Canis lupus familiaris: one gene and its partner. The protein of the gene in region 2 purifies or fractionates together with the protein of the main gene of each other region. This does not show direct contact. Links are inferred from orthologs where the notes say so. Each region holds a gene or a part of one and is shown on either strand. Other genes may lie near its edges. The genes, in order: BTRC and USP37.

Evidence for each region.
Region 1: the proteins of USP37 (region 2) and BTRC purify together in Homo sapiens (affinity purification with western blotting; 3 studies listed by BioGRID and IntAct, counting the BioPlex papers as one, with this or other methods). This does not show direct contact. The link is inferred for Canis lupus familiaris from reciprocal best matches to the Homo sapiens genes USP37 and BTRC.

Annotation. Positions count from the first base shown.
Region 1 is NC_049249.1:14,342,708-14,346,536, reverse strand, and holds part of BTRC (F-box/WD repeat-containing protein 1A), read right to left. Parts: intron 2,899-3,829; coding exon 2,788-2,898; intron 1,324-2,787; coding exon 1,245-1,323; intron 1-1,244. UniProt on the Homo sapiens protein: Substrate recognition component of a SCF (SKP1-CUL1-F-box protein) E3 ubiquitin-protein ligase complex which mediates the ubiquitination and subsequent proteasomal degradation of target proteins. Recognizes and binds to phosphorylated target proteins.
Region 2 is NC_049258.1:25,005,998-25,009,826, forward strand, and holds part of USP37 (ubiquitin carboxyl-terminal hydrolase 37), read right to left. Parts: intron 2,619-3,829; coding exon 2,487-2,618; intron 2,369-2,486; coding exon 2,245-2,368; intron 1,580-2,244; coding exon 1,389-1,579; intron 1-1,388. UniProt on the Homo sapiens protein: Deubiquitinase that plays a role in different processes including cell cycle regulation, DNA replication or DNA damage response.

The DNA of each region.
Region 1 (3,829 bases), on a different chromosome or scaffold from region 2:
CAAATGTCCTTCAACTGGTAAGTGCATAAACAAACTGGCTCATTCACACAGTGGAATACTACTCAGCAATACAAAAGAACTAAGCACGAACACATGCAACAACATGAATGACTCTCAAATGAAGTGAATAAAGCCAAATGCAAAAAGCTACATACTGTATGACTTTATAGGACATTCATAAAATGGCAAAAATCAGAATAGTGGCTAGGGGTGTGGGAGAGGGTAGTGCTATGAAGCGGTATAATTTTTGGGGTGTTAGAAATGTTCTAGATCTCGATCAAGGTGTTTACACACTGCAAAATTCAGAAAAACACACTGAAAAAGGGTAAATTTTGCTGTATGTAAATTACACCTCATTTAGACTTAGATTAATTTTAAATGAATGAAAGTATACATTTTAAAAAACATGTCTGAAACATGCAGGTAAAGTAGGTCTGATGCTGCAACAATGAGCTTTAAATCCAATCAGGAAGACAAAGAAACATCTCTCTCTCTCTTCTCCAGAGCAGAGGCTGCCAAATGTTGAGAGTTAGGATTCAGAACACTGGGCTTCAAATGCTAGCTCTCATCTTTACCCTGAGTTGTGCTCCCTGGTGCCCCACCTAATTTTCTTTTTCCAATGGCAGCAGCTTTTAACCTTAGGCCATTTTCTCATCCGGGCCTTTGGTGAACACCATGATAAAGAATTTAGCACTTTCAAAGGTGACTTTCTTCCTTTTGAGTCACTTCTTTCCTCAAATGTCAAGATGTTTATGGCAAGGAATAAAAGAGATGGGATTCATGTTGCTGGAGGCAGCATGCCTTGAATAGGCTGCAGAGCCAGGGGGCTGACCGGGGGTTCACACAGACTCCCATGACACTTTTTGCAGGCACAGGTGTGTAGGTCCTCAGCTTCTGGACAGGTTCCAATTTGAGTAATTATGTTCTCTCTCCCTAAGTACCCCCTACTGTTTCTGGTGGATACAGAATCCTTATTCACTTCCTGTACTAAACTGTGGTGTAGAGTTGCTGTGCAGCTGTTAAACAGCTGCCACATTCCTTTCTATACATAGTCTCTAAAGCACTTTTGGATGAAAGGCGCTAAAAAAACATATTTTATTGTCATGTATTAGTTGCCTTTCCACTTAGTAGTAGGTTTCGTGAGCTTCTAACTATCAAATCCAGATCTGTATTCCATACCACATCAATGTTTCATTTCTTTCCCTTCCTGTTCCCCAACCCCCTCTAAACAGCAAGGTTCTTACCACAAGGGTCCGTAGACAGAGAGTCCCTGCAGGAGCACGGGGGTCCAAAGCAGCTACAAGATCCCACACTTTAATTTTTCTAAAGATCCAAAAGGGGACAAAAATCTTAATTAAAAGCAAAATTAAGGGACCATGGGAAAAATAGCAAAAAGTCATGGCAATAAATAGGTATGATGAATGTAATTTTTTTTTTGATGAATGTAATTTATATGATAAATGCAGCTCACAAGAATATATAAGAACTTTTTTTTGTTTTGGAGACTTGGTTTTTGCATTCATTCTTGGGTAGAGGTTATTGGTCTTAACAGGGGAAAAATGTACAGGTTTAACCTAAAAATGAGAAATAGGTTAGCTCTAACCAAGCTTAAGTGAATGGTAAAGTTATACCATACTTTGGGGCCAGGAAGAGATCTTATATATTAGACTCTTAAAGACTGATAGAAGAGATCACTTAGACCTAGAAACCTACAATTGTGAAGTATCTTCTTTCTGGTCAATTCTAAGAATGGCCCAGGTAACCTGAACCAGAGGACTAGAGCCCATTGAAATACTCTGGAGTTTATACAAATTCCCATATTTTGATTAAAATAAGAAAAGTTTAGCTCTTCCAAGAACCAAACATATGGTCATGTCTCCTCAAGGTAAATAACAGACAAAACCCAAGAAAGGTGGGTACAGATAAAAACCAGGGCAATCAGAAAATACCATGTAACTGGAGTATGTTCTCACACCCTGAACAATCTCCCACAGGGTAGAACAGTGATGGATGACTCAAAGCAGAGAAAATGGTCTGTTCCTACTGTATGAGTTGTCTTAATCACTGCCAGCTCCTAAACTAAGGTAATGTAGTAAGGTAGTTTCTAATATTTAAAAAGCTGCCAAGATGTGAACTATAGCCTTCCACTCCCTCATGTCAGGCATCCTGACAAGAAGAAATAATAAAGAGGCCTTCATAAGTAAATACACTTTTATGTGAGTTTACTATGTGCTTAGCATTGCCGGACATGGGATCCATTCACAACATGAATGGATTTTAAAACCATTGGAAATTAGACCGAAGAAAATAAAGATTACTGAACTTGTCACTAAAATGTTAAGAGAAGTGAAGACAAGAGAGCTGCGCTTTTAGGAATTACTCAAAGACATCAAATTCAAGAGCCTACCACATTATGCCCCAAAGATACTGCCTCCAATATTTCAGTTTTATTAATAAGTCATTATTTTACACACATATCCTGGCATACTGTGTTTTCCTAGTTCTTTGCTTTATAGGTGAATCAAAACAGATGAATGCATAACTAAATAACTAAACTGTTAATGAAAATCACCAGGAAACAAGTGCAATTAAATGACTGGGAAAAATATCTTAGAAAAGTAAACAAAGGAGAGGGGAATACATAGATGAGACACAAGAAATATTGTATCAGATCCTTTCTGTAAAATCTATAATCTTTTAGAGTCAGGGAAATACTGTATTTAACATCCTCCGGTAGGAGGAATCAAGATGTACATTTTGTTTTTTAAACCCTGTTAGCAAACTCACCCATCATAGGCCCCACTGACTATCCTCTTGTTATCAAATCGAATACAACGCACCAGTTCCTCGTGGCCTTCTAACACTCGTAAACATGCACCACATTCTATGTCCCATAATCTGGAAGAGAAAATTGAGTCAAGTGAATTTTCATGTATTCTTTTCTAAGCTTGGCATGTTATAATACACTTCATATGTCTTCAAAAAATTCCACAAAAATAAAATCAATCAATACTCATACCAAATGTATTGCTTTCAATGTAATTTATTTCCTTTCTGCTGTATAACTCAGACAGAAAAATGTATGATTTAAGTTAAAATGAAATATATATTTTCAAAGCACAATGCTTTATATAAGTCTGTAACCAGGGTCTCCAAGGCATAAAAAGGATGAATTCAATGTACCCAGTTGCCTGTGAAGGAAATGACCAAGAAAAGAAAAGTAATGCTTCCTGAAATCACCAGTAAGAATGAGATACATGGGGTAGCCCGGGTGGCTCAGCGGTTTAATGCCTCCTTCAGCCCAGGGCGTGACCCTGGAGACCTGGGGTCGAGTCCCACATCGGGCTCCCCGTGAGGAGCCTGCTTCTCCCTCTGCCTGTGTCTCTGTCTCTCATTCTCTCTATGTCTCTATGAATAAATAAATAAAATCTTAAAAAAAGAATGAGATACATAGTGTCAGTGATATCCTGCCCTCACAAAGTATGTCCACCTCTGTTACTAATGACACTTTCTCTTTTCACCCATTGTTCAGGACAATTTTTCTCTATAATGGAAACAAAAGCAAGTTCTCAAAAATGCTTACATGCTAATTAAAAAAACTGGGGGCACCTGGCTGGTTCAGTCAGAAGAACGTACAACTCTTGATTAATCTCAGGCTTGAGTTTGAGCCCCATGTTGGGTATAGAAATTACTTTAAAAAAATAAAATCTTAAAACTATATGCTTTTGGACCAATCCAAATGAAATGAAAATTTCCTTAGACCTAACAGTAGCTCTGTTGTTTTCTAAAGGAGCCTTTTTATCTTCTTAGTACTTTTTGAAGGAAGGGA
Region 2 (3,829 bases):
ACACAACGGATAGCCAATATATGGGTTTTGAGTATTTCTAAATAAATTTCTCAAAAATAAATGAAAGAGAAGCAATATTCAGAGAATAGTTTTCTTGCGCAGAAGAAAATCCCAAATTTTTCAGATGAGAAAGCTCCATCGTGTTAAAGGCAAAATTAAACAAAATACTTAAATGTAAACTTGTGAAAATGTGAATTTCAAAAATAAAGAATATCACAGATTTTCAGGAAGAAAAAGATTACTCACAAAATCAGGTCTCCCAAATGTCACAAAGTAATATAGCACATGATGAGACAGTGTATGTAAGATATTAAGGGGGAAAGGCTATATGTGATTCAATAATTCTGTATTAACTCATGTGAAAGCCACAAAAATAATTCTTAAACAGAAGAATTCCATTCTAAGAAAAACATTTTCAGATATGTAGTACAATAACTGAAAAATTAATCAAAACAGATCCTTTTGATGTGAAATGCATGGTATAGGGACGCCCGGGTAGCTGAGCGGTTGAGCATCTATGCCTTTGGCTCAGGGTGTGATCCTGGTCCTGGGATCGGGTCCCATATCAGGTTCCCCGCAGGGAGCCTGCTTCTCTCTCTGCCTATGTCTCTGCCTCTGTGTCTCTCATGAATAAATAAAAAAAATCTTTTAAAAAAAAAAAGAAGAAATGCATGGTATAAAAGTCTTGGTAATGAGCATGGAAATTAACTAAATATAGAAAGTCCAAATAATCAATATAAACATTAATAAATTAAAAAGGATTGCAAAAGTTAAAAACAAATTTTGATCTTGTAAAAAAAACCCCATTTTTAATAAAAACAATTTGATTTAATAAAATAAGCAACAGGAGCAGAGTCTTTTCAGGGAAAAAGTATTCCCAAAGTACTCATTATTCCACACAGAGATTAAAAGAAAAAAAAACTCATAAGAACAAACTTATAGATCAAAATTTAGTGTTTAGTCAGCACTAAAGTACATGAGAGGGATCCCTGGGTGGCGCAGCGGTTTAGCGCCTGCCTTTGGCTCAGGGCGCGATCCTGGAGACCCGGGATCGAATCCCACGTCGGGCTCCCGGTGCATGGAGCCTGCTTCTCCCTCTGCCTGTGCCTCTGCCTCTCTCTCTCTCTCTGTGACTATCATAAATAAATAAAAATTAAAAAAAAAAATAAAGTACATGAGAAAACAGTCAAGTTTTCCTTAGTTCTCACCCTATAAAACATTTTTATAGAAGATGAGGACACTGAAAGGAGACGTTTGGTAGAACCTATGCATTTATTGTGTCCTTACAACACAAAAAAGGAAGATAAGAACTAAAACCTTCTAGAAAAATTTTAATCACATACTATAAAGAATTAAAAGGGCAAAGAGCTCTCTTAGAGTCTACTTACGCTTTACAGATGATGGAGTGCTGAACTTCAAACTCCAAGTTAGTAATAACAGGGCAAGTGTACACCCTGGTGGCTGAAATATCTGGTGAATTTTCTTCTCCAGGAACAGGTTCAGTCTTCCAAGTTTTATTTAACTTCTCCATGTCCTCTTTCAGCTGGTCTAAGCACTGACTTAAAAATTCATGAGCATCCTAAGAAAGCACAATATCTTTAATCATAAGATCAAAATCCTTCTGTCACAAGAATAGCTTCCAAACACTGTGATTTATACAACTATAGCTCTTGGAGGTCAGCACCATATGTGAAAAAGGTCAGATTTACTCTAGCCATTAGGGGGAACATATTTGTGAATAAGAACAAATGACACTGCAACTGATGAATCACTAAATTCTACCTCTAAAGCTAATATGCGCTATATTATTGTACAGTGTTGTATGCTGTATTACACATATAACATATAGTGTTATTAATACATACAACACTATAAGTTAACTAAATTGAATTTAAATAAAAATTAAAAAAAAAAACAATGACGGATTTTATATTTTTAACCACCAATTGGATTGGCATGACTGAATAAATCAATCAGCCCTTTAAGATAAAGTATTTTTTCTAAAATAGCCTTTGTAAAAGCTAAAATAGCCCAAGTTCCTATAATGGCAAATGGTATCCAAATTATTAAAATATGATAAAACACACAGAAGAGTCATATTAAATCTTACTATAAGTCCTTAGGTTTTTCAACTTGTGATGAACACATGTACATAAATCTCATTTTAAAGTAGAAATTAGATAATACATTAAAATCATTTAATTTCCCTTATCTCTAAAGTGTTTAAAAACAATTAGTACTCACATTCTGCATATAACCAGAGAATCTTTCTGCTGTAGCTGAAATGGCATTTTTAACCTTCTTGAGTAAATCTTTTTTGGTCTCTGAATTACAAATATCTTTCTTAACAAGCAAGTGTGCAAAGCGTCTGTTAAAACAAGAAAGTTTAGTGATGTTTTACATAAGTTTGGTTAGCATGATATTTTAAAGACTGTTAACAATAGCACATAAGGTAAAAGGTTTCTTAGTAAGAATTTAACAATTACCTGATAAGAGCATTGAGGGGAATTTTCTTCCATGGGATACCTTGCTTAAGCAAGTCATTTGCAAATGATTGGAGTGAAAACAGAGATTGTAAAATAGCATTCATATAGCAGGTATTTCCCAAATTGGAGAAGCTGAAAATGAAAAAAAAAAATAGTACTTTTGAAGACTGAAGTTCCTGACATATGTTCATTAAAATAGGGAATCACCAGTATAACACACATCAGAATCACATGGAGGACTTATTAGAATATGTATTGCTGGGTCCCTGGGCCCCAACTACAGTTTCTGACTTAGAAACCGTAGGTCTAGAAAGAGACGGTGCAAAACTGCATTTCTAACATGATTTCAGCTGATGTTGATTCTGTTGGTCTGGGGACTATACTTTGAATACCACTGCATTATAACAAGGAAAATTATACATTTTCAAAGGAATGCTAAAAAGAACTGGGGACTTATCCAAAGAGCTATTTGTTCTTATTTATAATTTTAATTTTTCCATTGAGATATAGCTTACTTATTTCTGTTTAGTGTATGCCCAGAGTGGAACTGCTGGGTCATAGGATATATGTGTTTAGACTTAATGGGTATTGCCAAACACTTTCCTAAAGCACATATTTAAAAAAATTTTTTTATTAGAAAACATTCCCAAACTCTCAAGAACAGTTGCACAAGAATACTCCTTATCCCTATTCACCAATTGTTAATCTTTTGTACTATATGCTTTACCATTTGGTGCATCTCTGTATTTCTCCTGAACCATGCGAGAGTAAGTTGTATAAATAACCCTTTAGCCCTAAATACTTCAGTGTGTATTTCACAAGAACAAGAAGATTCTCTTATATAATGAGTTACCAGCATTATAAAATTTAATGCTGACATACTCTTTATCTAACATACTTTAATCCAATTTTGTCAATTGATTCAATAATGTTCTTCATAGCATACACACTCGTGCTTAAGCACAAGATTCAATCCAGAATAGCATAATGCATTTAGTTGTTGTTGTTGTTGTTTTTTAATCTGGAATACATCTTCAGCTTTCTCTTTTGAGACACTGCCATTTCTGAAGAATACAACCTCCCTTACCCCCACAACTATTTTTTAATGGACTGTTCCTCATGTTGGGTTTGCTATTTCTTCATGATGAGATTCAGTCCAGGCTGGAAAAGCAGAGTGACACCTAGTGATACTGTGTCCTTCCAAGGGTATCACATTCAGAGGTACATGATATTCTTGTGCTAATCACTGGTGATGTCAATTTTGAATACCTTGGAGAATTTACACATCAGACTATGAGAAAGTATCAGGGTCTGGGGTTATCCTACTGCCATAAACAACGAAA